4 linked regions of the Stegostoma tigrinum genome follow. The protein of the gene in region 3 interacts with the protein of the main gene of each other region in a pairwise test. Links are inferred from orthologs where the notes say so. Each region holds a gene or a part of one and is shown on either strand. Other genes may lie near its edges. The genes, in order: necab2, rab GDP dissociation inhibitor alpha, lnx1 and cutc.

The links.
Region 1: the proteins of lnx1 (region 3) and necab2 interact in binary tests that used the Homo sapiens proteins (3 or more experiments, as listed by UniProt). The link is inferred for Stegostoma tigrinum from reciprocal best matches to the Homo sapiens genes LNX1 and NECAB2.
Region 2: the proteins of lnx1 (region 3) and rab GDP dissociation inhibitor alpha interact in binary tests that used the Homo sapiens proteins (3 or more experiments, as listed by UniProt). The two-hybrid records come from large-scale screens. The link is inferred for Stegostoma tigrinum from reciprocal best matches to the Homo sapiens genes LNX1 and GDI1.
Region 4: the proteins of lnx1 (region 3) and cutc interact in a two-hybrid assay, tested with the Homo sapiens proteins (3 studies listed by BioGRID and IntAct). The link is inferred for Stegostoma tigrinum from reciprocal best matches to the Homo sapiens genes LNX1 and CUTC.

What each region holds. Positions count from the first base shown.
Region 1 is NC_081369.1:3,296,028-3,303,338, forward strand, and holds the start of necab2 (N-terminal EF-hand calcium-binding protein 2), read right to left. Parts: upstream 3,023-7,311; 5' UTR 3,001-3,022; coding exon 2,770-3,000; intron 1,767-2,769; coding exon 1,742-1,766; intron 1-1,741. UniProt on the Homo sapiens protein: May act as a signaling scaffold protein that senses intracellular calcium.
Region 2 is NC_081364.1:9,594,168-9,601,087, reverse strand, and holds the start of rab GDP dissociation inhibitor alpha, read right to left. Parts: upstream 3,025-6,920; 5' UTR 2,886-3,024; coding exon 2,841-2,885; intron 1-2,840. UniProt on the Homo sapiens protein: Regulates the GDP/GTP exchange reaction of most Rab proteins by inhibiting the dissociation of GDP from them, and the subsequent binding of GTP to them. Promotes the dissociation of GDP-bound Rab proteins from the membrane and inhibits their activation.
Region 3 is NC_081354.1:107,522,777-107,530,237, forward strand, and holds the start of lnx1 (E3 ubiquitin-protein ligase LNX), read right to left. Parts: upstream 3,016-7,461; 5' UTR 2,931-3,015; intron 2,818-2,930; exon of another isoform or gene 2,703-2,817; intron 1-2,702.
Region 4 is NC_081373.1:13,164,329-13,171,561, reverse strand, and holds the start of cutc (copper homeostasis protein cutC homolog), read right to left. Parts: upstream 3,015-7,233; 5' UTR 2,799-3,014; intron 2,747-2,798; coding exon of another isoform or gene 2,675-2,746; exon of another isoform or gene 2,458-2,674; coding exon of another isoform or gene 2,347-2,457; exon of another isoform or gene 2,316-2,346; intron 2,280-2,315; exon of another isoform or gene 2,067-2,279; intron 1-2,066. Other genes in the region: cytochrome c oxidase assembly protein COX15 homolog, read left to right, coding at 2,347-2,457, 3,667-3,848, 4,581-4,703, 5,636-5,822, 6,378-6,545. UniProt on the Homo sapiens protein: May play a role in copper homeostasis. Can bind one Cu(1+) per subunit.

The sequences.
Region 1 (7,311 bases), on a different chromosome or scaffold from region 3:
TGCACTGTCCAGCTGCCTGACACAATACTTCCAGAGTGTGTGGGACTGTACCACAGTGAGAGTTAATGCGTGTGGGACTGTACCACAGTGTGTGTGGGACCCCGTACCCCAGTGAGAGTCAGTGTCTGTGGGATCCTGTTACCCAGTGAGAGTCAGTGTGTGTATGTGGGACCCACTGCCCCAGTGAGAGTCAGTGTGTATGTGGGACCCACTGCCCCAGTGAGAGTCAGTGTGTGTGTGGGACCCCGTTACTCAGTGAGAGTCAGTGTCTGTGGGATCCTATTACCCAGTGAGAGTCAGTGTGTATGTGGGACCCACCGCCCCAGTGAGAGTCTGTGTGTGAGTGTGTGTGTGAGTGTGTGTGTGTGTGTGTGTGTGTGTGTGTGTGTGTGTGTGTGTGTGTGTGTGTGACCCCGTTACCCAGTGAGAGTCAGTGCATGTGTGGGACCCACTGCCCCAGTGAGCGTCAGTTTGTGTGTGGGATCCCATACCTCAGTGAGAGTCCGTGTGTGTGTGGGACCCGCTGCCCCTGCGTTTGGCTTCTCAGAGCAGAAATCAGAATTAATCAACCCTTTTGAGCATAAATTTGTTTTCATTCAAGCTCAGGTTCAATTCTAATATTTAGACTGTTCACAGTATCATCTTAGGTCTTCTAACAGTTGTGTGTAAAACTCTCAATCTCTTTCAGGAGAAGCCCTTATTCATCATTAAAGGGCCAGAAAAGCCATTCAGTCTATCAGCTCAGCTTCAGTTCTGTTCTGGACAGTGCACTTTCAGGGCAATGTGAAGGCATTGGAGAGGTTAAACAAGGAATTTATCAGAATGGTTGCTGGGATGAGGAATTTCACGTATGAAGACTGATTAGAGAAGCTCGGACAGTTCTCCTCAGAGAGGAGAAGGCTGGGAGGAGATCTGGATGATGTTCAAAATCATGGGGCACCCAAACAGTAAAAGGAAAACCTGTTCCTCCTCTTGAAAGGATTGAGGACATGAAGGCCACAGGTTTCAGAGAATTTGTGAGAGAAGCTAAAGTGGTTCGAGGATAATCTCGTCTGTGCAGCAAGTGCTTCAGATCTGCGATGGAATGCCTGAGAGGATGGTAGAGGCTGGTTCAAACAAGGCTTTACAAGGGGAAATCAAATGGTTAATTGGAAAAGGAGCAAAGTGCAAGGTTACAGAAAGAATGACACTAGGTGAGATATTCATTCAGATAGTTGGTGAAGAGACAATGGCTGAAAGGCAAACTCCTGAACAGGATCTGTGTTGAGATTCAGTCTGATCTGTAGCTGATGTCTATTGACCCACTCTGCCTCTGGTTGGATTCACCTGAGAATCTCTGACTGCCTTTAACCCTTGAAGCCCCAATCAAATCCATGTGAATCTTTGCCAACACTCTATATACCTCCTGAGTTGCACTGTTCAGAAGTAAACACAGTACTGCAGATGTGGTCCAACCAAGGCTCTGTTCTATTGGAAACACAATTTGATTCCAAGCTGCTTGAGATAACGGTAAACATTTAAGAGGATAACGCCTCTTCATATTATCCCAACCGAATCTTAATGTATATTTTAATCACCACAACCAGATGCACTTGCAGTCAGTCCCACCAAGGGGATATGAGCTAAGTTTACACACTGTCCTTGCAATTTAACCCTTTCACCCTCTGCATCATTCCTAAAAATACCTCTGAAAATGAGACTAATATAAATTAAACATGCACCAAAATGATTCTGCACTTACCATTTTTATCAGCTCTTCTGAATATCTAGAGACGTGGAGAAAACAGAATTTTAAAAGATCAATTTCTTCGTTCACTCAGCAGAATTTCAAACCGAAATCATTCACTCTGAATGCCCCCAACTTGCCTGCAGTATTTACTGTTACATTACAAGCCAGGCAATAGAGACATAGCCAAAACTATCGAACAGACACACACTCTTCGGAATTTAATGTTTCTATTCATACATCCATCTAACTTTCATATTAAATTCACTCCCTGCCAACAGATTGCCTCTCTTTCTGTCTCACTTTCCTTCCTTCTAATTCTCCCTCTGTTTTTCTGCTCTCTTCTGTCTTTATCCATCTATTTCCCTTTGTCTCCTTCTTCCCTCGCCCCCCCCCCCCCGCTTTCTGCAGTTTCTCTCTCCGTCTCTGTAAGTTGCTCTCATTATCACTCATTGTGTTTCACTCTCTGTTTCTCACTTACTGTTTTGCTCTCCGTTTCTCTCGCCTCTCTGTAGGTCGCTCTATTCCGCTTTTGCTCTCTCCCTGTCAGCTTCACTCTCTCTCAATCCCTCCGTAGCCATTCCGTGTGTGTCTGTCTCACTTATTTTCTTTTGCTTTCCCTCTCTTGTCCCTTACCGTTTCTCTCTCTCCATCGCCTTCTCTCCGTCTCTGTCCCTCGCCCCTCTCCCTGCATGCCCCTCTTTCTCTCTCTGCCTCTCTGTATCCTTGTCTCTAACTCATTCTCTCTGTCTCTGCATGTCCCTCTGCTGGAGTTCTCCATCTCTCTCCCCATCACTTTCTCGGATATTCTGTCTCGCTCCACCGCATGCCCCTCTCAGCTTTCATCCTCGGGCAGCTCCTTCCGACTCGAGCCCAGTCCGTTCCTATTGACTCTATCCATAGACAGTCCCACCTGCCGGGGAAGGATTCCGCAGGGCGGATCTGAATCAGTCCCTTGGTCAATTGAGGATGGGTAACCACTAAAATATGAAAGTTGGTCTCTGACTCCAGGCGGGGAAAGGAAGAGACAGAAAACTACTTACGTCCAGGATAACTGAGATGCCTTTCTTGGTGTCCGCGGCCACCTGCTGCCTGGAAGGTGCCCCTTCAGTTTTCTGAGATTCCCTGTCCCCGAACTTCTTGTCGCTCATTTTGGTGAGGACCCAGCGCAGGACGCCGTCCAGCCCCCTGATACCGCGGTGCACAGGCGGCTGCGTGTCACGGAGTTGCTGCTGGACGCTGTCCCTGCAGTAGCGAGCTGCCTGATCACACATCTTCCTCACATCCTGCAGACCATCCCCTTCCCCTCACACCCCTCCCTGCAACCCCCCCCCCCGCCCTATCCCCTCCCCACGCACCTACCACCCAGCCCCCCAACACCTCCGCCCCCCCCCCGGGTTCCCAGCAGCTTCAGGCCGGCTCCAGCAGCACTCCCCCCGCCCCCCACCCTCAACACACACACACACACACACACACACACAGTCTATCCCCCTCCCCGTCACCGCTCACGCACTCAGCAGCACCGAGAGCTGGAGGCAAACTGTAGGACGTGTAGAGAAAGAGGAACAGGCCGGCAGAGAGGGGGGAGATGCAGAGGGGCGGGAGGAGAGGAAAGATCAGGCCGTGCTCAACACTCACAGACACTGTCCTCCTCCAACTGCTGCCCCGTCAGCTGTACACAGGGCAAATCCAGCCAGGGAGCCTCCTCAGAAATAGCCCCCAGGTTGATACCACTGTATGTATACAAAGAAAAAACTGTGGGTAAACTTTGTCAATGTCTTTAAGCTCGCAATTTTGTGTTTGTGTGTTTCTGACGATGTGTGTGCGCGGGTGTGAATGTGTATACATTGTGTCCAGAGTGTTACAGATGTAACATCTGTGTTGTGAATTTGCGTCAGTATCTGTCTGTGCCTGTGTGTATTTGTGTCTCCAAATGTATGTTTGCATGTGCCTGTGTACCCATTTGTGCATGTGTCTGTGCATGTGCCTGTGCATGCATGCCAATGTGTGCTTGTGTGTCTGTGTGCATCATTGTGTATCCATCTATGCTTGTGTTGTATCTGTGTCTCTGTATCTCTGTGTGTATGTCTGTGTCTATATGCCTTTACATGTGTCTGTCTGTGTGTGCCAGTCTATGTGTTTGTACGTGAGTCTGTCTGTGTCCATCAGTGTATCTATATCCACATCCATGTGTATACATTGAATAGACGCATGCACCCACGTGAGTATGGGTGTGACTGTGTTACCGTGTGTTTGACCGCTGTGTGTAGTGCTGCATGGACATGACTGAATGTAACAGAGTCTGTGTGGGTGCATGACTGTGTCAATGTGACTCTGCCTGTGTAACTGTGTGTGTGACGAGGCTGGGTGTGTGCCCATGTTCATGGCACTGTACATGACATGCATGTGTGTGTGACTGTGTCAGGGTGTGTGACCATGTGCCTGTGTGTCACTGTGTGCATGTGATGCCAGCAGTGTGGATTCAATTCCCATACTGGCTGAGGTTACCTTGAAAGTCTCACCTTCTCAAATTCTCCTGTCACCTGAGGTATGATGATCCTCAGATTAAACCACCACCAGCCATCTCTGTCTCATGAGAGAGCAGCCCTATGGTCTGGTAAGACTATGGTGACTTTTCCTTTATCTGCATCTGTTTGTATGTATCTAGCTGAAAGTGTGTATGAGTAGGCCTATGTTTGTGTCTGTGTGTATGTGTGTGGGTGTGTCTGTCTGTTGATGTGTGTATGTGAGTATATCTGTGTCTATACATCTGGATTTGTATAAGTATATCTTTGGACGTAAGTGTATCTGTGTCTATGTATATCTGTCTCTGTACATGTGTGTGTGTATCTGCATGTGTGTTTGCATGCATTTCATTGTGTTTCTGCATGTATCTGCGAGTATGTCTTTGACCTTTGTGAGTCTGTGCATGTGTCCGCGTGTTTGTATGTGTGACTATGAGTGCAATTGTGTTTCCCTAGTGTGTCTGATTTGTCTGTTTGTATTTGTATGTGTATCTGTGCCTGAGGTTGTGCTTGTCTGTGTCTGTATGTATGTGTATGTGAGTCCATATGTGAGAGTGTGTGTGTCTTGGTACATGTTTATGCGTACCTGTGTGTTTCTGCAGATATGTATGTGTGCGTGTGTCTTTGTGCATATTTATGTGTACCTGTGTGTTTCTATAGATATGTACGTATGTGTATATCGGTATATTTGAATCCATGTATGTATCAGTATGTCTGAGCGTGCTTGCATATCTGAGGCTTTTTATGTTTTCCATATGAATGTGCAAGTGGGTGTGTATTTGTGGATGCATGTGTCTGTATGCAAGTATTTGTGTGTTTGCCTATTCGAATGCATGCATGTGTGTGCATGTGTGCATTCCCGTGTGTGTGTTTGTGTGTGTGTATTTCTAAACGCTGAGATCCTGAGAGGTTGGCCAGCCCACTGGGACCCTGGCAGAATTTAATCTTTCCAAGCCACAGGGATTAATTATTTTCCTGGCCGAGTCTGTGAATGCAGACTGAGGATGGAGCATGGATCTTCCTGTGAGTGTATCTCATTCAGCAGTCAGTCCTCAGAGGAGCTTAGCTGTACCGTAGGTAATGCTGCAATAAGATTGGTACAGAGCAGGAAGCGAAACAGCAGGAAACAGGACAATTGATCACTAACTCTGATGCTATGAGAGTACGATACAAATTTATCACCGGCAGTGACAGAATCGGGGGTGAGGGGGAGGGGGCGTGATATTGGATCAGCCTCCTGTTCTCCATATTACCTGCTATTCAGTGGCATCACAGAGAGTGCAATTAAATATGGGCAGCCACAGATGACTGCAGGTTAATCCTATTCTCCAGTTTGTCACTGCCCAGGACATGTACCTCCCCATTCACATAACTGAAATCAGCCAATATTAACCCCAGCATCCACTTCATTAATCACCAATAATGTCCATAGCACTCCCCACATCACCACAATCCCACAGATTCACCACCCTGTCATGCCCCTCATGTAAGTTTCAGTAAGGTCAAAATTCTATATTCCAATAAGTACAGGCCCAATCTGCTCAATTTCTTCTCATAGGACGGTCCCTTTGTAGCTGGTGTCAGCCCAGTGAACCTTCACTGTGCTTCCTACAATGCCTTGATAGCTTTCTTAGGTAAGGGGCCCAAAATGCTCAACATTATTGCAGCTGTGGCTTGGCCAGTGCCTTGCATAGTTTTAGCAAAACCTCCCTACTTTTATAAGAGAACAAACAAACGAGAACAAAAGAGAGGCACAGCACAGGAACAGGCCCTTCGGCCGTCCAAGCCTGTGCTGATCATCATGCCCCGACTAAACTGAAAAACAAACCTTCTGCCCTTATTCAGTCGTATCCTTCTATTCCCTCCCTATTCATGTAATTATCCAGGTGCCTGTAAAATGTCACCAACCTATCTCCTTGCACAACCTCCTCTGGCACTGCATTCCAGGCTCCTACCACTCTCTGTGTGAAAAACATTCCTCACACATCTCCCCTGAACTTTCCTCTTCTCACCTTGAACCTGTACCCCCTCGTTACTGAAACTTCAACCCTGGGAAAAAGCCTCTGACTATGCACTATGCAGTATTGTGTAGACCTCTATCAGGTCTCCTCTCAGCTGCTGTCTTTCCAGTGAAAACAAACCTAGTCTTTTTAACCTATCCTCATCACCAATGCCCTTGAGACCAGGCAATATCCTGGTGAACCCTCTCTGTACTTTCTCCAAAGCTTCCACATGCTACTGGTAATTTGGCAATCAAAACTGCACACAATACTGCAAATGCAGCCTAACCAGGATTGTAAATGGTTACAACATGCTTCACGAACTCTTGTGCTCCACACCAAGCCATTGAAGGCAAGCATGCCATATGCCTTCTTAATCACCTTGGCTACCTGTGTTGCCTCTTTTAGGGAACTGCAGGCCCAGATCTGTCTGTATTTTAATGTTCCTAGGGGTTCTGCCATTTACAGTATAATTCGCACCTAAATTTGACCCTCCAAAATGAATCTCCTCAGATTTGTCTGGATTAGACTCCATCTATCTTTTCTGTGTCCAAGTCATTAATTTAACTATATCCTGTTGTACCTTTTCACAATCGTTGGCACTATCAGCAACTCCACCAACCTTTGTGTCGTCTACAAACTTACTAATCAGACCACCCACATTTTCATCCAGATCATCTATATACACTACAAACAATAAAGGACCCAATAATGATCTCTGTGGAGCACCATTAGTTACCTGGCTCCATTTTGAAAAACACCCTTCCACCACTACCCTCTGTCTTCTATGACCAAGCCAGTCTTGTATCCATTTGACCAGCCCACTCTGAATCCCATGCAATTTTAGTTTTTTGTACCAATCTGCCATGGGGGACTTTATCAAATGCCTTACAAAAGTCCACATAAACTACATCAACAGCCCTTCCCTCATTCATTATCTTTGTCTTCAAAAAATTCAATTAGATTGGTAAGACATGACCTTCCCTGTACAAAAGCATGCTGCCCGTATCTAACACACACATTTTCTTCCAAATGTGCATATATGCTGTCCCTCAGTACC
Region 2 (6,920 bases), on a different chromosome or scaffold from region 3:
AGAATTTTCTGCTTTTTAACTTGCATCCTATGATGCAGTAGACAAAATCCACTCAGATGGAGTAATTAGGAAGGAGAACTGGTTACTGGCATTCCTACTATTTGTAGACTAAGGCCGACTACAGATGAAAGGCTCGCAAATGACCGTTTTGGTCATCAGCACTCAACTCTTACAGAACCACACTCCATTTTAAAACCACTGCCCATGGGAGAGAAAATTGGTGTGATGGGGAAACATAAGGTATGATTCCAAAGTAGGTTAGGCCAGCTGGGAGAAGTGTTGAAAGACAAAGATCTTCTGTAAATACAGCCCTCCTATCATGAATATTTAAAAGACCAGCAATATCACAGAATATCCTAAAATTCAGACAGCTAAGTTCTCTAACAAGTCAAAAGGCACACAGTCTTTCTTTCCCACTCAAATACAAATACAGAGCTACAGAATCTATGTTCCAAATCATAGATGCATACATCATGAATTGAACATAAAAGATGAGACAGAATCAGTTTAAAGCAGTCACATGTTCCTCCTGCAGGCAAACAAACAGACTCTACAAACAAAGACTCCATTTTAAATGGCAGGCCTAAGATTTCATGCAGCATTTGACCAAGAATTCAGTCAATAAGCAAGAATGATGAAGAGTAAACTTTTTATCATAAAAGCATTTTTTTCATAAAATGTATTACAAATTTGCAGGAAAGGTTCCTTTAAAAGCACAAGTTCAGATATTAATAAATAAACCAAACACTTGTACTGATATTTATATACATTTCTACTCACACAAGGAAAACAAGGCAGCACCCACAAAACAGGTAGCAGGAACTGCAGATGCTGGAGAATCTGAGATAACACGATGTAGAGCTGGATGAACACAGCAGGCCAAGCAGCAGAGGAGCAGGAAGGCTGACGTTTCGTGCCTAGAATTTTCTGAAGGGTCTAGACCCGAAACATCAGCTTTCCTGCTCCTCTGATGCTGCTTGGCCTGCTGTATTCATCCAGCTCTACACCTTGTTATCCCACAAAACAGGTTCTCGTTTTACTTTTCTCTCTGCCACAGGAAACGAAGAAATTTCCATGAATTTGGCTCTTGGCTGGCAAAATGGTGTTGTAAGCGTTTCACCGATGAGGGAGGGGGAAAAAAGGGACAAATCAAAAGAATAAATGGGAAAAAAAATCAAAAGCTTGCTTGAAAGAAATAGGTTTTAAGGGGTTCAAATGAAACCAGGGAGGTGTGGGTGAGAACGAAATAATTCAAGAAATATGAAGGAGAGATTCTCAATGATAGGCTCAAAGAAAGTCAGGGATACAATAAAACCTCAGGGTCAGTGAGGAGGTGAAGACTTGCAACACCAGAGTTTACTTTAAAAGATAGGGATAAGCCAGGCCTTGGGAAAATATAAACTACTGAAACTACACCACTGGGGAAACAGGACAACAGTGACCATTGAAGGTAGAGAGTAATGGATAGACCAGCCATCATCTTAAAAGATGAAACATAATTAATGGATTTACTAACTGGAAAACAATAACATTTTTCACAGTATTTCATTGGCTGGTCTGCAATCATTTATTGACTGCTTTTTAACTTTAAAGCCAGTTCCTTAAAGCACAGGGCAGCACGGTGGCTCAGTGGTTCACAATACTGCCTCAGTGTTCAATTCCACCTTCAGGCGACCGTCTGTAGAATTTGCACATTCTTCTCGTGCCTGCGCGGGTTTCCTCCAGGTGCTCCAGTTTCCTCCCACAGTCCAAAAGATGGGCAGGATTGGCCATGCTAAATTGCCCATGGTGTCCAGGATTGTGCTGGCTCCATGGTCAAGCCATAGGAAATACAGGGATGATTGGGAGGGGTTATTGGATCTGGTCAGGATGCTCTTTGAAGGTTCAGTGTGCACTAGATTGGCCAAATGGCCCGTTTCCACACTGCAGGCATTCTACAATTCTGATTGATTCCTGCCACTCGATGTTAATAACAATGAGACATTTTAACAGGAGCTTAAAAGTAATAGTCTGTGACTTGTAATGAACAAAAACATTGATGTAGGGAATATATACATGGATAAAAATCTCTCTACATCACTAATGGAAGAATAGAGTAAACAATTTAGGCATTAATTTTTGATTGAAGAAAAACAAGGGGCTTCCTTTTCTCAAAGATTTGGTTAACTTCGGTATTATTTCTATTGATTTTTTCCCCCATTTCATAGCCTTGTAATTCTTTCACAAAGTGTGGGTAATAAAAGGCCAGCATTTGCTGCCCATCCCAAATTCTTGTGGCTCTGGAATCACATGCAGGGCATTTATGAATAACGTGGCTTTGATTTTTTTTAAACAAAAAGCAGTGTTTTCCAACCACCATTACAAGTAATATGTTTTAATTCGAATCAAAATTCAAAAAGCCACCAATGTAGTCTTCAGCTCCTGTCCCTAAGCCTCTGGATTACTCTAAAGGTACTCTCAAAATTTCAAAAAATAATTTTCAAAAATTAAAAAAAAAATTCTCAAAAATCAAGGGAATGCTCGAAACACACGTCAAATTAGGCAAGATTTGAGACGAGTTTTCCCCGCCTCAATAATAACTTTAAACTTTACCATTCTGAGATTTATGTAGCAAACCAACACCCACAGTGCATGCTGCATCTGAGAAAGGCTTAAGAAACGTTATATTAGTGAATAATTCTCTTTACAATATCCAAGTTGGACAATCTACATGACAGCAGCAATCCAGTCAACAGGCCACTATAATTCCATTTCCTCCACCTATTCATCAAATATTAATATCACACAGTCGGGGGTGGGGAGAGAAAGGCTGTTAGTTAAATAATAGAATAAAGGCTCACCTTCAATCCAGTCCCTAGGACAATCACATCATATTCTTCATCCATTTTTTTACTTGTTATTCACTGTACCACCGTTAATTTTTGGTTAAAAACCTGAGGTTTATTGTGGAAGGGCTGGGCTGGGCTGAAGCTGACTGGATGGAGCGGATCACCATATGCCGTGACACTACCCGCACTTCAGACGGTGTCCATCCGCCATCAGCCAATAGTGCGCCTTATTTTTTTTCCGAAGAGTTCACCGCCTTTTCGTCTCGGGATCGACAAGAATGCCTCGGGACATTGATTTGAAGGATAAGCAAAGTTCTCCGAGGGTGAAAAGCAACGAAACATCGAGGTATTCTGGAATTCCCTTCCCCCTCTTTCGACATAGTCCGAAGAAAAAGTAGTGCCACCGTCGACGGCCAGGATACAACGGGGCACTGCGCAGGCGTACAACCCGTGGGACTTCTGGGGATTGTAGTCCACAGCGGGGGGGTCAGAGTCTGTGTGCTGGATAATATGCACCGCAATGAAGCATGGGAGACGTAGTTCCAAAGTAGGGCACAATTCCCTATTCTCTACAAACAAAAACAGAAATTACTGAGAAATTACTGAAAAAACTGTGCAAGTCCGGCAGCATCTGTGGAGAGAGAAAGTAGAATAACGTTTCGTCCAGTGATCCTTCTTCAGAACACAGTCCTCCATTTCAAAATGTCATTGACAGCATTCGTCTGCATGCAAGCGTAATACAAGGCCCAGTGCAACTGCCAGGATGCTCAGGAGACATGGTAATTGAAAGATAATTCCAACTGTATTAAGGAGGAGGAAAAAAGAAGAAAATAACATTATAAGGATCGTCTTTAAATTGAAGCAAGGAACTGATCTTAAAAAAAAATTGGATATCCCAGCAGGTGTGGAGAGAGAAACAGAGACAATCTTTCAGGTCTCCATCAAAGGACCTTCTTTATCAGGAGCAATTATTTGCAGTTCTAGAGACTCTAGAATTTCTCAGTAAATTGCTGTTCAGTTTAGGTGGTAGAAATTTAAGGGAACAAGTGCAGTTTGCAGGCAAATAGGGTTCACTCCCATTTAAATTATTACCCTCATCAAAGATATTATTGTTCTTAGCCACATTTTCAATGGCCTGACCACTCCATATCACTGTAATTCCCTGCAGTTTCACAATCTTTTGAAATTGCTTCTTGAGCATCCCAGATGTTAACACTTCCTCCACTGGTGGTTATATTTTCAGCTGACTAAACCACTAAAATTTTGATAGTGGAAGGAGGAGTAGGAATAGTAGTGGTGGTAATGTCCGTGGACTAATAATTTAGAATGCACAATAATGATCTGATTCAAATTCCATTACAACATATGATAAACTTTGAATTCAGAAAAAAATGTGGAGTTAAAAAATAATCTAACTGCAGTCGATTACCTTAAAACTCAGCAAGATTACTATAATAAGATAATAGAATGTGAGGCTGGATGAACACAGCAGGCCAAGCAGCATCTCAGGAGCACAAAAGCTGACGTTTCGGGCCTAGACCCTTCGCAGCGCTGTCAGGCTGGAGGTGCGGTTCGGAACGTCGAAGCGAGGTCACGGACGGTTGCGGGTAGGGGGACCCTCGCGTGGTCGTAACGGATGGTTTGCACGGTACCGACAAAAGTTTGGCTCGAGGGATGACTTTCAATAGATCGCAGCGAGGGAGCTGCTCTGCTACTTACAAAACCCTGAGCCAGAATCAGGTCGTCTGCGAATGATTTAGCACCAGGTTCCCCACGAACATGCGGTGCGTCTAGAGGAGAGAGGTGGCGCCCATACGGCCGCGCTCCTGCCCAGAATCGAACGGCACTACGCACCGACCGGAGTCGGTTATCCCAGGCCAACCAGAGATCCGCGGCGCTAGGGTATCCTTACGTTTAGGCGGGATTCTGACTTAGAGGCGTTCAGTCATAATCCCACAGATGGTAGCTTCGCACCATTGGCTCCTCAGCCAAGCACATACACCAAATGTCTGAACCTGCGGTTCCTCTCGTACTGAGCAGGATTACTATTGCAACAACACATCATCAGTAGGGTAAAACTAACCTGTCTCACGACCGGTCTAGGCCCGAAACGTCAGCTTTTGTGCTCCTGAGATGCTGCTTGGCCTGCTGTGTTCATCCAGCCTCACATTCTATTATCTTGGAATTCTCCAGCATCTGCAGTTCCCATTATCTCTGATACTAAGATTACTATACGTCCTTTAGGGAAGAAAACCTGCTATCCTTTCCCGGTTTGGCCTACATGTGATTCCAGACCCACAACAATAGAGTTGACACTGGATAATGAGGGAAGAGCAATAAAAACAGACCTAGTCAGAGATGCCACCTTCTGTGAATTTTTAAAAAAAATTTCATAAATTTCTTTGCGACATTCCTTGAACCTTCTTCGATGAAATTATTGGCCTTCTGCCACAATGTTGCTTTACATGGCTTGGCATTAAATTTGGTTGTTTAACTTGCCTGTGATTTGCCTTGGGACATTTGATTACATTTAAGGCATTGCATAATTGTAACTCGACGTGGTTAGCTTGTATGTTTCATACCTGAATCTTGGACACACTGAATTCACCTACAACTCACAGGCCAAAATTCTTAAGTATGTCAAACATGAAAACTTGAATTTGATTTACGCAGAGGCCCTAAGATAAAGTCAGGAATTAAGTATTTGATCTACAATAAAATCCAAACAATAAAATGACATTCCATGATTCTATTTACTGTTATCCCAAATTAAAAATAAATGATGACGAAGTTGTTTCATAATGGGCTAAATTTAAAAAAGCTCAGATTTAGGAATGGCTGGGACCAACGTCATTTCTCTTCATGCTGCAATAGTAAGACAAGCTTGTAGGAAATCAGAGCAGGAAGTCCATTCAGCTCCCTAAGCCTGCTCTGCCACTATTTAATAAGATAATTGCTGATCTGATTCTGGCCGGAACTCCTCTTCTCTGGCCTGATCTGCATAACCCTTGTTTCAAATTATGTGTTTAATGGCTGCCACACCCGAATGAAAGCAAATTACAGTAGATGTTGAGGTCACATGACCAAAGGAAGATCAGCTAGTAGGTACAATGCGCAGATGCAAACATCCCCTTTTAGACAGAGAAAGAAAATTGTACGCACTATTTTCAGCAGCTATGGGTCACCCAAAATGATCACTCATGAACAAAACTGAAAATTCTAGTCTATCCCACTTTCATCAGTCTGTATGTGCATGCATTGACTTGTTTTCTCTGAGGTTTTCAGGTCTTTTGATAAGATTTAGTTGAGTAACTGCCAGTTTGTCTGGTATCTGTTCATTCCTAGGGTGATGTTCTTTTCAAACAGTTACATGTCACAGACCAATCCATGCCGAATATAATCCCAAACTGAACTCGTCTCACCTGCCTGCTCCTGGCCCATATCTATTCATATATTTTTCCAAATATCTTTTAAACATTGTAATTGTACCTACACTTCATCAGGAGATTTATTCCACATGCAAACAACCCTCTGCGTAAAAAACTTAACCCTCGTCTTTTTTTAAATCTCTCGCCTCTCACCTTAAAAATGTGGTGCCAAGTCTTGAAAACCCTCCACTATGGAAAAGACAATGAGCATTAACTCTATCTACCCCTCATTATTTTATAAACCTCTATATTGTTCTTTCAACTATGACTTCCAAAGCATTTTGAACTGTTGTTACTAGTCTTTTGATTTGAGTTAAGCTGCTTCTTTTCTGTGAATGAATACCAATGCAAATCCTGGGCAGTGAGTTTGCACAGATGTTTGCACTCTGATGACAAATCAGGCAAGAATTTTGCTAAACAGTTCATCAAAAATCTGATGAATCATTGTACTGTATTTACACCTTTGCAACAACTTTCACCTTGCCAAGATCCAAGCAAAGTCGTTTACCATCAGTATATGCCCTTGATCCAGCCATCTTCAATTTCTTTTGTTTTCTTGCTCTATTCTCTTAACATATATTTTCTTCCGTTGTGTGATTACTGCCTCTTCTGCTTTGACTTGCTTACAATTAACTGCCATTACCTCAAAGAACAATATCTTAGC
Region 3 (7,461 bases):
ATTCGAACCCATGTCACTATACCATTACCCTGGATTCTAGTCATCATTTCAACGACTTTACCACTCTGCAATCATCTCCCTATTTTATTGGCTTTACTCTGTGCATTCACATACATGCAGTATAACTCTGATTCAGACTCCATTTCTTTCCTTAAAATTTCTGCAATCCACCCTCCTAGATCATATTTCCAGCCATGCATTAATCTGCTTTATTCTTCTATTTCCATTCTCATTTTTGTGTGGCTCTGGGAGTAATCCAGGGATTACTTCTTCTTTTGAGGCCCTGCTTGCTAAACTCCGACCAAGTTCCCTAAATACTGACTGCAGGATTCCCCCTCCTACCCAACACATTGAACCCATCATGAAACACCACCCCCACCCAAACTCCCTGAATCATATCCTGAGTTGCTCTGAGACATCCTTGACCTCACACCAGACAGGAAAGGGTCTAGGCCCGAAACATCAGCTTTTGTGCTCCTCTGATGCTGCTTGGCCTGCTGTGTTCATCCAGCTCTACACCTTGTTATGTCGGATTCTCCAGCATCTGCAGTTCCCATTATCTCTAGGAAACATACCATCCTACAGTCATATTTAAAAACATGTCTGTCTCCAAACTAATCAGACCCCTATCACTACTGCTCTCCCACCTCATTTTCTTTCCCACATTTGCAGATGAGAAAGCAACTGTTAACATTCCATAGGCTACAACAATGAACTCACTTGAGTCTTAATTATGTAATTACTATTTATACAGCAGAGAGGTAACAAGTTCAAATCCGACCACACTTCCTTCCTATAACTAACAAATAACATAATGCACGAGCAAAAAAAGTGAGTTTAATCAGTCATGCACATCAGGAAATTTATCAAATTCAAAGTCTGGTTATTAGAAATTTATTAACTGGCTGCTTGTAAATCATGGAAATCAATTGTGACTTTAAATGGCATTCTTTGTTTATAGTTAGGCAAAATCAGACACAAGCCATCCAACTGCAACTTCCAAATAAGTGATGAAACTGTTGCCCTCTCTCCTTGCTGTCCAAGTTCTCAACATCTAACTGTTCTATAAATCGGTCTGTACCTTTGTGTTAGTTGCGAAGAGGACCTAAGTAGCCTACAAAAGGGATTTAAATAGGTTAAAGAAATGGACAAACATCTGGCAGGTGGAGTGTGTGGGAAAAAAATGTCATTCATTTTAGCAGAAGGAATAAATTAAAGCAGACTGGTACTTGAACAAAGAATGACTGCAAAATTCCAAGGTGCAGAGGGATTTATTTTTTGTAGTGCATGAATTTAGTATGCAGATACAGCAAGTAATTAAGAATCCTAATAGAAATCTATCGTTTTTTGAGAGGAATGAACATAAGAATTATAGATAAGTTAAGTGAGGGGCAAGTATCTGGCAGATAGAGCATATTGTGGGAAAATGTGAAATTGTCCATTTTGGCAGAAGGAAAAAGAGAAGCCTATTACCTGAGATGTGGCACAGCTTGGTGATGCAGAAAAACTTGGGTGTCTTAGTGCATGTATCACAAAAGGTTAGTATGAAGGTACTGCAAGTTATCGGGAATGAGATGATGAAATGTTTTTCTCTCAGAGGGTTGAGTATCTTTGTAATTCCCTTCTCAGAAAGGCAGTGGATGCAGAAAATTGAAATACTTTAATATCAGAAGTAGATAGATTCTTGATTATGAAGGGAGTGAAGGACTAGCGGGGATATGCAGGAATCTCGAGTTGAGGTTAAAAGCAGATCAGCCATGATCTTATTGAACAGCAGAGCAGGCTCAAAGTGTTGAGAATGTGGTGAACAGCTACCTTGCTGGACTGCCCATGTCCATTTGGTGCAGGTAGACCCATAATGCCATTAGGGAGGGACATTAAACAGGTTCTGAGGTTAAAATTGTGTTACTGAGCTTTGATCGTGTAGTACCAAAAAACAGAAGTTGATCCTTACCAACTGTATTATCTAGAATATACCACTTACAGTACAATATATTCCACCCTTTGCACTCCAACTAATGCAACATATTCCTGACGCTGCAATTAAAAAAAATCACCTCTTGATAAGCTTCATATCTATTTTGGCACACTGACAGGAAACTATGCAAAGTGCAGAAACTACTGATCTTTCCACCGTGCATAGTAGGATTTCAACAGAGCAGTTTTTCATCCTACAGATGCCAATATTCTCGACTGCAAAGCTTCTTAAAACATTCAACCATTTTGATGCAGAAAGAGATTTCCAACCTGTGAATAAATCGAACCAACAGCCCTCCATTCCACTGAAATCGTAAAATATTTACTACCTCAAAAGCTGCTTGAATTGTGCACAATCCATTGTCTACACCAACTCACCTGGATAAAGGTACAAGTTAGTTTGCATGAATAAATTGGACCAACACAAATGATAAAATTCAGTAAAAAAAATCAAATAGAACGTACTAAAAGGGGTTACATTATTGTAAACACAACAGAAATCGGTCTTTTAAAAAAAACTAGCCACTTTGATAACTGGAGAGAAATATTCAAATTCACAGCTCATCCACTGAGCCTCTTAAAATTTACTTTGATCTAAATGTTTACTTTTGTTTTTAAAAAGCGGCTTAAACTGCAGATTTGTCAGCTCAGTAACCCGGTACCAAAAGAAAATATACTTTCCACGAGCTCTGGTGAAGTTTACAGTAAACACACGTGAACATTACCGGCTCTGTTGGGAACTGCCACGGCCTATCAAGTTGGACACAAGTAGCTCCGATAATTCCGAGCGCGGAATAATGAGACAAAGGTGATCACATCCAACAGAGAGCGGATATAAAACTTGAAAGAGAAAGCAGTGTTCACTATTTTATCCAGTTCACCTTTACAAACTATCGTGGAATGATTTCACACCAGCGAATATTTCCGTCACATACAATTAACTACTTACTCACTTTTCACCAAAAAGAGAGAGAAAAGCATCAGAAAGTAAGCAATTGCTTGATAAATAAAGTAAAACTGAAATGCGGTAACTTGCCTACAGCCATAATACAGAACACAGCTCAGGTATCCACCCCACACAGTCCCCGCCCCTCGACTCTTCACTGCCAATTACACACTCTCCAGGCATACACCCCTCAGACTTACACCTCACAGGTACCCACGGTCCACGGTACACATTCATTGAGCATATACAGCCCAGATACACAGATCACGGGTTTTAAAATAATCATAGATAATGGGAACTGCAGATGCTGGAGAAACCAAGATAACAAAGTGTGGGGCTGGATGAACACAGCAGGCCAAGCAGCATTTTAGGAGCACAAAAGCTGACGTGTAGGGCTGAGACCCTTCATCAGAGAGGGGGATGGGGAGAGGGTTCTGAAATAAATAAGGAAAGGGTGAGGCGGATAGAAGATGGAGAGAGGAGAAGATAGGTGGAGAGGAGACAGACAGATCAAAGAGGCGGGGATGGAGCCAGTGAAGGTGAGTGTAGGTGTGGAGGTAGGGAGGAGATAGGTCAGTACAGGGAGGACAGACAGTTCAAGGGGGCTGGATGAGGCTAGTAGGTAGGAAATGGACATAATTGGAACTGCAAATGCTGGAGGATCTGAGATAACAATGTGTGTAGCTGGATGAACACAGCAGGCTAAGCAGCATTTTAGGAGCACAAAAGCTGACGTTTCGGGCCTCGACCCTTCATCAGATTTTCTGTCAGCTTTTGTGCTCCTAAGATGCTGCTTAGCCTGCTGTGCTCATCCAGCTCCACACTTTGTTTTCTTGGTAGGAAATGGAGGTGTGGCTTGAGGAGGGGATAGGTAAGAGGAAGGACAGGCTAGGAAGGCGGGGATGAGCTGGGCTGGTTTTGGGATGCATTGGCGGGAGGGAAGATTTTGAAGCATGTGAAATCCACATTGATCCTATTGGGCTGCAGCGTTCCCAAGCGGAATATGAGTTGCTGTTCCTGCAACCTTCGTGTGGCATCGTTGTGGCCCCCACCTCTTCCTCCGTTACATTGATGACTGTATTGGCGCCGCCTCGTGCTCCCAAGAGGAGCTTGAACAGTTCATCCACTTCACCAACACCTTCCACCCCAACCTCAAATTCACCTGGACCATCTCCAACATATCCCTCTCCTTCCTGGATCTCTCTGTCTCCATCTTAGGCAACCATCTAAAAACCAATATCCATTTCAAGCCCACCAACTCCCACAGCTGCCTAGAATACATCTCCTCCCACCAACCTTCCTGCAAAAATTCCATCCCCTATTCCCAATTCCTTTGCCTCCACTGCATCTGCTCTCACGATGAGGCATTCCACTCCCGCACATCCCAGATGTCCTCGTTCTTCAAGGACCGCAACTTCCGCCCCCGCACTGATCAAGAACACCCTCGACCATGTCTCCCGCATTGCCCACAACATGGGGGTCATAGGGGGATGGGTCTGGTTGGGATGCTCCAAGAGGCCGTGTGGACTTGTTGGGCTGAAGGCCCTGTTTCCACACTGTCGGGAATCTAATCTTTTCTGATGAAGGGTCTAGGCCCAAAACATCAGCTTTTGTGCTCCTAAGATGCTGCTTGGCCTGCTGCGTTCATCCAGCCCACACTTTAAAATAATCATTACGGGATCTAGGTGTCAGTGGTTAGTCAGCATTTATTGCCCACCCCTACCTGCCCAGAGAAGGTGCTGGTGTGCTGCCTTCTTGAAGCTGCGGTCCATTAAGTGTAGATAGACTCACAGAATCATTGGGGAGGGAGTTCCAGGATCATTCAGGAACATTGATGGAACGATGATAATATTTCCAAGTTAGGATGGTGGCTTGGAGAGAAACTTGAAGATGGTGCTGTTCTGATTATCTGCTGCAATTGACCTTCTGGGTGGGCATGGCCATAGGTTTGGAAGGTATTGTCTAAAGATTCTTGGTGAATTTCTGCAGCTCTTGAAGACGTCAGGTATTTGCACTCCGAGATATACACTCCTCCGATACGCACAGTTTCAGATATGGTTGCCTGCCACGAACACGCTACTCAAGAACAAACTCTTTAGGTATAACCCTTCAGATAGCTAGCTTTCAGATATACACTCTTCAGGTGTTACGAACTTGGTTCTCTAGTATTTCCCCCAGGAGTTCCTTCTGTAGCCTCCATGCGCTTCAACCACAAAAGTGTTACCATGCAGAAAAAGACCACTCAGCCTGTTTGCACCAATCTTTTCATGTTTCTATTTCTTTATCTTGTCTATGCTGTTATTAATAGCCACAATTAAGGGTGGTGATCCCTAATTTATATCCCAAATAGGAATTATTTTCCATAATTCGTAGTTTGTGAGTTTTATTAGATATAGTTCGAGATTTGGGACTACTGATCGTGGTCTGTGCATTAACACATTTGCCATAACATAGAAAATAGAAGCAGGAGTAGGCCATTTGGCCCTTTGACCCTGCTCTACCCGTCATTATGGTAATGGCTGACCACCCATCTTGCTTTCGCACCATATCCTTTGATCCGTTTAGCTCCAAATGACACAGTACTGCTGCCTCACATCACCAGGGACTCGGGTTTAATTCCAGACTTAGGTGACTGTCTGTGTGGAGTTTGCACATTCTCCCTGTGTCTGCGTGGGTTTCCTCCCAGAATCCAAAGATGTGTAAGTTGGGTGGATTGGGCATGCTAAAATTGCCTTACAGTGTCCAGGAATGTGCAGGCTAGATGGATTATCCATGGGAAACTCATGGGTTACAGGGGTGGGAGACGGTGTTCAGAAGGTGGGTGCAGACTCAATGGGCTGGATGGCCTCTTTCTGCACTGTAGGGATTCTATGATTGTAACTCTTCCTGGATATCAGACAATGTACTGCCCTCAACTGCTTTCTGTGCCAGCAATTTCCACAGGCTCATCCCTCTCTGGGTGAAGAAATTTATTTACATTTTAGTCCTGAATGGTTGAACCCATATCCTTAGTCTGTTACCCCTGGTTCTGGACTCCCTCACCAATAGAACATCTTTCTTTCAAGTATCCCGTTAGAATTTTAGGTTTCGGGCCAACTGATCGGACTATAGTTCCAATATAAACATAAGGCTAATAGTTACTGATTTCTTTAGAAAGTATGTGGAACAGCAGCGTTTGTTTGTGATCAGCAATTTGGGATAGTAGATTGTGAGCAGAGATAAAAAAAAGTAAAAATAAGTAACTGGACAGAAATAGCAGCAAAAATGACTCCTGTGGTGTCTAGAAGCCTTCTGTAAAAGAAGATAATTGACTTTTAAAGATTAACTGAGGATAGTCAGGGAATTGACAGCAATGATACTCCATTCTCTATTATAATATTGGCTTAGCCCTGAATAGCTTCGTAGATTGTGCCACTGCACCATGCATAGTAATATAATTCGCAGTGTGTAAGTAGAAGCAAATTATCTACTGAGAATGTCTTCAATGGAAAACCTAAACTTTCCAAAAGAATTCATTCATGCCTACGTTTGTGAGAAGTGCATATCCACAATTACCTTTTTAGAATGAAGAGTTTAACCCTCCCAGTCATGATTAACACCTAAGTATTAGGAGAAGTTGTGGCTCATGGTAGGACTAGTGAACATAAAGGGAATTTCAGAAATGAAGGGATAATCTAAATAGCAGAACTTAAAGTGTCATAATCTAGGGAAGAGGCTTAAAATTAGCCTTTTTAAAATGGCAAGCTTCTCAGGTATTGGCTGCTCTCTCAATTAATGTTGTTGAGGCTGGATCTTAGGTCAGCCTGTCATTCCAAATGGGGATCAATATTTTCTAATTAATCTGTTCAGTGATATTATTACAAACCTCTGGAGCAGGTTGAAACTTGAAGCCAGCTCTCTTGACTAAGAGGTGGGGACATTGCCACAAAACAACTGTGAACCCCAAATGAAGGTATACATGCTCCGAATGCATCATTTGTTATATATCTAAAAATTAACAAAAAAAAATCTGTGGACCATCAAGCTCAGACTTTTGGGAGAGACTTTGATGTTGATTGAGAAACTTATTGAAGCTAGTAAAATAAAGATAATTTGATTGGTTGAATGTAATCAAGTTTTTATGCAATCTGTAATTAGTTCCTCCATTTAAAGCATAATGTTGGATCTTCAAACTTACAGTTGCTCAAAAAAAGGTGGATATTTTTATCTATGGAAACTATTTTCAGTGATTTGTAGACATTACTTGACGGTGTGTCAGGGAACTGTCCAGAAAATCATAATTTTAACTTTGAAACTCTTAATAGAATGACCAAAATCACAGAAACCCCTAATAGGCAACATTTTAATGGAGCAATTTTCATTGGAACTATTTGCAAAGCAGTTTAAACAGAGTTTAAAACCTTTTTCAGAATCATAATAAAAGTGGATTTACATAGACATGGTACAAATTCATTCATTCCATTTCACACTGCATTAGCACCAAAGCTGGAAATCCATTTGATTGAACAAACAAGGCAAGACTATTCTGGACATGAGCA
Region 4 (7,233 bases), on a different chromosome or scaffold from region 3:
ACCCTCTCCACCTATCTTCTTTACTCTCCATCTTCGGTCCGCCTCCCCCTCTCTCCCTATTTATTCCAGTTCCCTCCCCCCATCCCCCTCTCTGATGAAGGGTCTAGGCCCGAAACGTCAGCTTTTGTGCTCCTGAGATGCTGCTTGGCCTGCTGTGTTCATCCAGCCTCACATTTTATTATCTTGGAATCTCCAGCATCTGCAGTTCCCATTATCTCTGAGGTTAAAGTATTTGCCCATTTTGCTTCCTTCCAAAGTTCCCATCATCATAGATGTCAGTGGTTGGTTTGATTCACTCCACATAATAAGCAAGAAAGGGCTAAAAGGACTTGATACAGCAATGGCTATAGGATTTGAGAACATCCTGGCTGCAATTTTGAACATTTGCACTCTAGATATGAAGGCAGCCTTTGACTTGAATGTGTCATTAAGGACTCATGGTTAAATTGAAGTCAATGGGGAATCTGGGAAAACTCACCACTGGTGGCAATCATACCTACCAAAAAGGAAGGTGGTTGTCGTTGCTGGAGCAACATTGCTAGAGAAGTGTAATGCCTGAGTGATCTAGACCCATCTTCAATGGCTTTATCAAAGATCTTTTGCCCAACAGATGTGGGGACAGTCACTGATGATTACAAATCATCAGCACCATTCACAACTCCTCAAATACTAGGCCTGTCTGTGCAGCAATCTTGGATAATAGTCAAACTTAGTCTGATTAGCAATTTATATGTGCTAGACAGTAGTATTTCTGACAAGGGGGAATCTAACCATATCTCCCGCAACTGGCATTACCACCACAGATATCCCACCAGCAACATCAAAGGCTTCACCACCGACCAGAAACCTAACTGGAGCAGTCAGACATATAAGGAATACAAATGCAGATCAAAGTGAGCAACTCATTTCTTGACTTCTACCACTCACAAGTTGGGGATATGATGCAATGTTCTCCATTTGCCCAGAAAAGCACAGTTCTAACAACATTTGATGAAGCTCACCACCGTCCAAGATACAACAACCTACAAAAACAAAGTTGTTGGAAAAACTCAGCAGGTCTGGCAGCATCTGTGGAGGAAAAAATAGAGTTAATGTTTCAGGTCCAGTGGCCCCTCCTCAGAACTGATGGTGGCTGGGAAAACGTCAGTTTATATGCAGAAAATAGGGAGGTGGGTGGGGTAGGGAGTAAACGATAGCTTAGAGCCCAAAGAGAGAGAAAGACAGTTGGACAGACAAAGGATTTGCTAATGATCAGGGTGGGAGGGTGAATAGTAGTTAATGGGGACTTTTAGTCACTAACAACAGGGGGTGTGATTTACAGCATCCGCAGTTCTTAAGGTTTTTAAAACAACCTACAATTAAGCACATCATAAAAACCAAATTCATTCCATCCACAACTGACGCTCAGCATCAGCAGCGAATTGTACCATCTGTAAGATGTGCTGCAGTAAACCACCAAAAGCTCTTTCCACAGCACCACTTAAACTCGTTTAGGAAGGGACAAAGGCAACAGGTATGCGGGAATAACACCACCCACAAGTTCTTCTCCAAGCCACCTACAATCTTGATTTGGAAACGTATCGCCGTTCCTTTTCGCTGCGACTGGGTCAAACCCCTAGAACTACCTCCCTGGTGGTACTGTGGGTGCACCACTGGCAAATGGGCAGCAGCAGCTCAACAAGGCGGCTTGCTCATCACCTTCCAAATCACAACTCAGGGGCAGGCAACACACATCATTCCGCATTGTCCTGGTCTCGGGAAACGTGGCCAAGAAGCCACGGGGTAGCCAGCTGGTTGCTGGATACAGGGCTACCGTCCTTGCTCAGTGCTGAAGCTACAGGTGACTCCAGGCTCACAGCTGAGAAGATTCTAGGCGAAGGGGAGGGCGGCATCACCATGGTAACCATTGGCAAACGCCACCCGTGCCAGCAATAAACACACACACACACACACACGCTATGAGAATAAAGTAACATTAATGATTTCTCAAAATTCAACGACCCCAGTCAGTTTACAAGACGCTGTTGCACGAATCAGAATTAAATCGCAGTTTAATCGATACTCACTTCAGCCGCAGCCTGAGGCAGGCCCAAGTCACGTGACTACGACCCCTGTTTTCCCCGCCGCCTCAAGTGAAAACGCGACGGCGCAGATTTTATTTTTAATCTCTGTCTCCATGTTATTTATCGCCCTCGGAGAGCGCAGTGCGGTTATTTTAATTTGTTTTGTGTGCGCGCGTTGATCGGATTTAGTTTTGATCTCTGGCCCCTCACCCCGCTCCCAGGCGGGCAGGGTGCGGCTTTCTGATTGGTTACCGCTGGATGACCCCTGACCCCCGGGTTGGAGATGCTGGTGACGGGATTGTGCGGCCGCTTCGGCCTCCGGGCGATCCGGACCCGGGCCCGGGCCTGGGCCTGGGCCTGGGCTCGGGCCCGGGATGGAGGCCGAGCTAACTCGGTGAGGAGAAAGACAGGCTGTTATTGTAAACCCCACTGGCGGCAGGAGGGCGTAAGGAAGGTGTATTTCTATAGCGCCCTTCGTCCGGCTATTTCCACCCCCGTAGCCCAGACGAAGTACTTTCCATGCGCGATTGTTGTTGGAGGAGGAAACCACGGCGACCCCTTTTCTGCACAGCAAGATTCCACGAAAGGCTGTAACGATAAGTCGGGTCGGAATGCAAGGCGCTAAGAGCTGGGTTAGAGTGGAGGGGGAAGGGGTTGAAGGACAGCAAAGGATAAGAGTTGAGGTAATGTATAAAAGGCAGATTGTAAGGTCTTTTGTCTCACAGTAACACCGACCTTGCCTCTGGGATGTAAGGTTCAAGTCTCACTTGTGGTAGAGGTGCCTCACGAGATGCAACTACGACACATTGCCTGGAAATCCGGTGCTTTAGATTCCGGGTACATGGTTACGTAACCTTAAATAATCTCTGGTTCCTAATATTGGATAGGATTGCAAAAGATAGCTGTGCATTTCCCGTCTGAAACCTCCCAGCCTGTGGTTCTACTCACTTACAGTACTTTCAGGCTGACAAATACAATAGGATTACATATATTAAAATGGTGTTTGAAATCATAATAGCTATGATAAAACTACAGTGGATCAGGAGAAGCTGTTTTCATTGGTAGGTTGATTAGTGACCAGAGCTCCCAGATTTAAGATGATTCACAGAGCAGTGAAAGAATTATGTAATAAACATAAAGTACTGTGAATGCTGTAAATTTAAAATAAGAACAACTTGCTGGAGAATTTCTGACATACCCACTTCTGTGGAGAAAGAAACAGTGCTAACTTTTCAAGTCTAATATGACTCCTTTGGAATTGTGGCAGAGTGGAAGATGTTGCATTCAAAGCGTTAACTCTGTTTCTCCCTCCAGAGATGCTGTCAGACTGCTGTGTTTCTTCAGCATTTGAAATAGTGAAGTTGTGACTTGGAATATGGCACCTGTAAAGGTGTAGGAAGGAATTTTAAGACTGGCTTTCAAAAGAGTGACAGATACTTGGGGAAAATTTGCAGGACTTTGCCAAAACAATGGGTTGGGCTATAACTCGATAGCTCATTTAAAGGTCATGCATAGGCATGCTGTAAGATTTTATGACTAATAATCTTCATCTGGTTCTGTAAAAGGGAGTCAGCCATGCTGTTTTATTAATTCTTCTTTTCAGCTAAGTCACACTTGGAAACAATGGGGAGTGAGAAAGGGAATGAGTTCTGTTGTTACAAAAGTATCAGCGCAGTCCAGGACAGACCGTATACCCAGTGTCATCACAGACCGAATCTTGGGCAAATGGATGATTGTTTGCAGTGGAATGGTTGTGGGCGCTGTGGTCCTTGGCGGAGTAACCAGGTAAGTGAAAGTCTTCTGTCAGTAAAAGCAACCGCTTCCACGACGAAGTCATGGTTCTTTATTGATGGCCTGTTCATATTTCTGGCTAGGCCAATATTTGATGTTTGTATTAATTGATTTTGCTACCTCCTGGAACCACTGCAGTCCTTGTAGGATCCCCACAGGGTGGAAACGGCCATTTGGCCCATTGATTCTACACCAACCCTCCAAAGAGTATCCCGCTCAGATGCCAGCCCGCTATTCTGTCCCTGTAACCCTGCACTTGTCATGGCCAGTCCACTTACCCTGAGCATTATGGGCAGCTTAGCATGGCCAATCGACCTAACTTGCACATCTTTGGACTGTGGGAGGAAACCCACACAGACACAAAGAGAAAATGCAAACTCTGCACAGACAGTCACCCGAGGTTGGAATCAAACCTGGGTCCCTGGAGCTGCGAGGCAATAATGCTAACCGCGGAACCATCTTGCCACCCCAAGCCATCCTTGACGTCTTGAGGAAGTAGAGATGTTGTGCTTTCTTGCAGTACTATACCAGATGTAGTACTGCTGGATTTGATGGGAATAATAGGAGGAGAGGTGTTGAAAATCATCGCATGACAGAATGATTTTGACTCTTTTCCAAATCTATTTTTATTAAAGCACACGCTGGTGCAGTCCAAGGAGGATGAAATGATGAATATTTGTTGAGCACAGAGAGAGTACTTTAAGGGCTTTCCTTAATTTTCCACAGGCTGACCGAGTCTGGCTTATCGATGGTGGACTGGCACCTCATCAAGGAGATGAAACCCCCAAAGACTCAAGGGGAGTGGGAAGCTGAGTTTCAAAAGTACCAGCAGTTCCCAGAATTTAAAATGTAAGTAACAGGTGGCAACATCTCTGACCCTCATCACGTTTGTCTGCAATGCTGCTAGATCAATCAGGCTTTAATTAGAGCCTTGCGCCTGCTCTCTTTTGATATCTTGTCCCTGGCCCAGTTGCTTCTGGATCCCGTCTCATTTCTCGAGATTTGAGCACTGTGACATAATCCAGGTTAATGCCCCCAGTGCAGTACTGGGGAGGTGCAGTCCTTCAGATGAGATTCAAAACTAAGCTCAAGGTTTAAAAGATCTTATCACACTATTTCAAATAATATCAGTCGTACCTGGTATCCAGGTCATCATTTACGCCTCAACCAACACTAAGAAATGGTATCACATTTCTGAGGAAGGTCGCTGTATGTGAAATGTTACGTCTGATTTCTCTTCACAGATGCTGCCAGACCTGCTGAAGTTTTCCAGCAACTTCTGTTTTTGTATCTGATTTACAGCATCTGCGGTTCTTTCAGAATTTATTATCACATTTCTGATGGTCAAAGTTGACTATAAATTGGCTCCCGAGTTTCCTGCTTTGCAACTGTGACTGCGCTTCAAAAGAACCTCATTGGCTGCCGAATGCATTGAGCGACCCTAAGGATGAGAATGGCACTACAGAAATGAAAGCCTTATTTCTTATTTTAAAAAGAAAGTGTTTATTTTAAGCTTCCAACCGTAGTTATACAAGTAGCTTTTGGGCATTTCGTGTTGCTGTGACATTTTCATCTGCTCAGACTTCGATTGAGACAAAAGATCTGATTTCACATCTAGTTCCTTGACTCTTCCCTTTTGTTTATTTATAACAGTTGAGGATAGTAAGGTGGGGTGGTTGGTTTGACGTTCTTGTTGAATTAGTAGCTACTTTTACTCTAGCAGTGGTAAGACCCGATCTGTGACTCCTCTGCATCAACTGCTCCGGTGTTCTTTCCTTCAGATTAAATCATGACATGACTTTAAACGAGTTCAAGTTCATCTGGTACATGGAATATTCTCACCGGATGTGGGGCCGTGCAGTGGGACTGGCCTATATACTGCCTGCCATTTACTTTTGGAGGAAGGGCTGGTTCTCCAGGAGCTTGAAGCTGCGGGTGGCAGGCCTTTGTGGATTCGTGTGCTTTCAGGTAGGTGAAATGCCGGTGACCACCTACCATATCGTGAGATTTGAAAAGGGGAGCCTAGTAAATCTGAAAATGACACAGATTAAAACAGAATGGTGGAAATAATTGGTGGTAGGGCAGGATCTGTGGGGAGAGAGAAGGAGAGTTGATGTTTCAGGTCAGTCACCTTTGGTTTGAACTCCGACAGATCGTCGGCCTGAAATGTTAATTCTGTTTCTTTTTTTAGCTCCCGCCAACTTCAGAATTGAAGAAGAGTTATACCGGACTTATTAACTCTGTCCGTAGATCCTGCTGGATTTGCTAAGTTTCTCCAAGAAATAGTTGGAACTTGTCAAAAGGGTATGGCGATTATCATAGGGGGTCCTACATGTATATTGGAAAAATCAGATTGGACAAAGCAGTCTAGATGAGGAATTTATTGAATATTTGGGCAATTTCCCTCTTGTTTTCTGCATGATCTTTTGTGCATTACCATTCTAATCCTAAGAAAGATATTTTCACTTTGGCAGTTCTGATCTGTCCAGGGTTTTAGCACCTTACCTTGTTGTTGTTCCTCAGGGTTTACTCGGTTGGTACATGGTGAAAAGTGGTTTGGAGGAGAAGAAGGATTCACATGACATTCCCCGGGTCAGCCAGTATCGCCTGGCTGCTCATCTTGGATCTGCACTGTTACTCTACTGTGCCAGCCTGTGGACTGGTCTGTCCCTGCTCCTGCCTCCGAACCAGGTAATGTTCCTCCAGCAAAACCACTGTTTCTGTTCCTTCAAAGTTATAGCTTTTAAATAAATTGCAGTTAGGGATAATGTTTTTATATTTTAAAGCAGGTGAAGCGAGAATATTCCCTTAAGTTCATTCTGTAGATTTCGGTGCCATTGACATTTATTGTTTATCCATAAGTGGTCTAGAAAAAAATGGTAGTTTGCTATCACCTTGAACAGTTGTGGTTGTGCTTTTAGGGAGGCAGTTCCCAATATATTGACTCAGTGGCAGCGATGGAACAACTAGGGAATTTCTAGGTTGGATGGTCAGTGTAGACTTGAAGAGTTTCCAGATGATGATATTCCCATACACCCCTTGTCTTTTCAGTAATTTGGGAAGATGCTGTCGAAGGAGTGAGTTGCTGCAGCATATCTTGTAGATGGTGCATTGTTCCTGCTGTACTTCAATAGTGGAGAGAGTGAATGTTAACTGTAGTGGATGGGGTATCAGTCAAGTAGGCTGTTTTATCCTGGGTAGTGTCATGCTTCTTCAGTGATACTGGAGCTGCACAGGCAAATGGGGAGAGCATTCCATCACACCCTTGAGTTGTGCCTTTGTGGATGGTGGGTAAGGTTTGGAGAATCAGTAAGTGTTGGCCATTGCTATCTTTCCAGTCTCTTATCTGCTTTTGTAATCACAGTATGTACGTAACTGA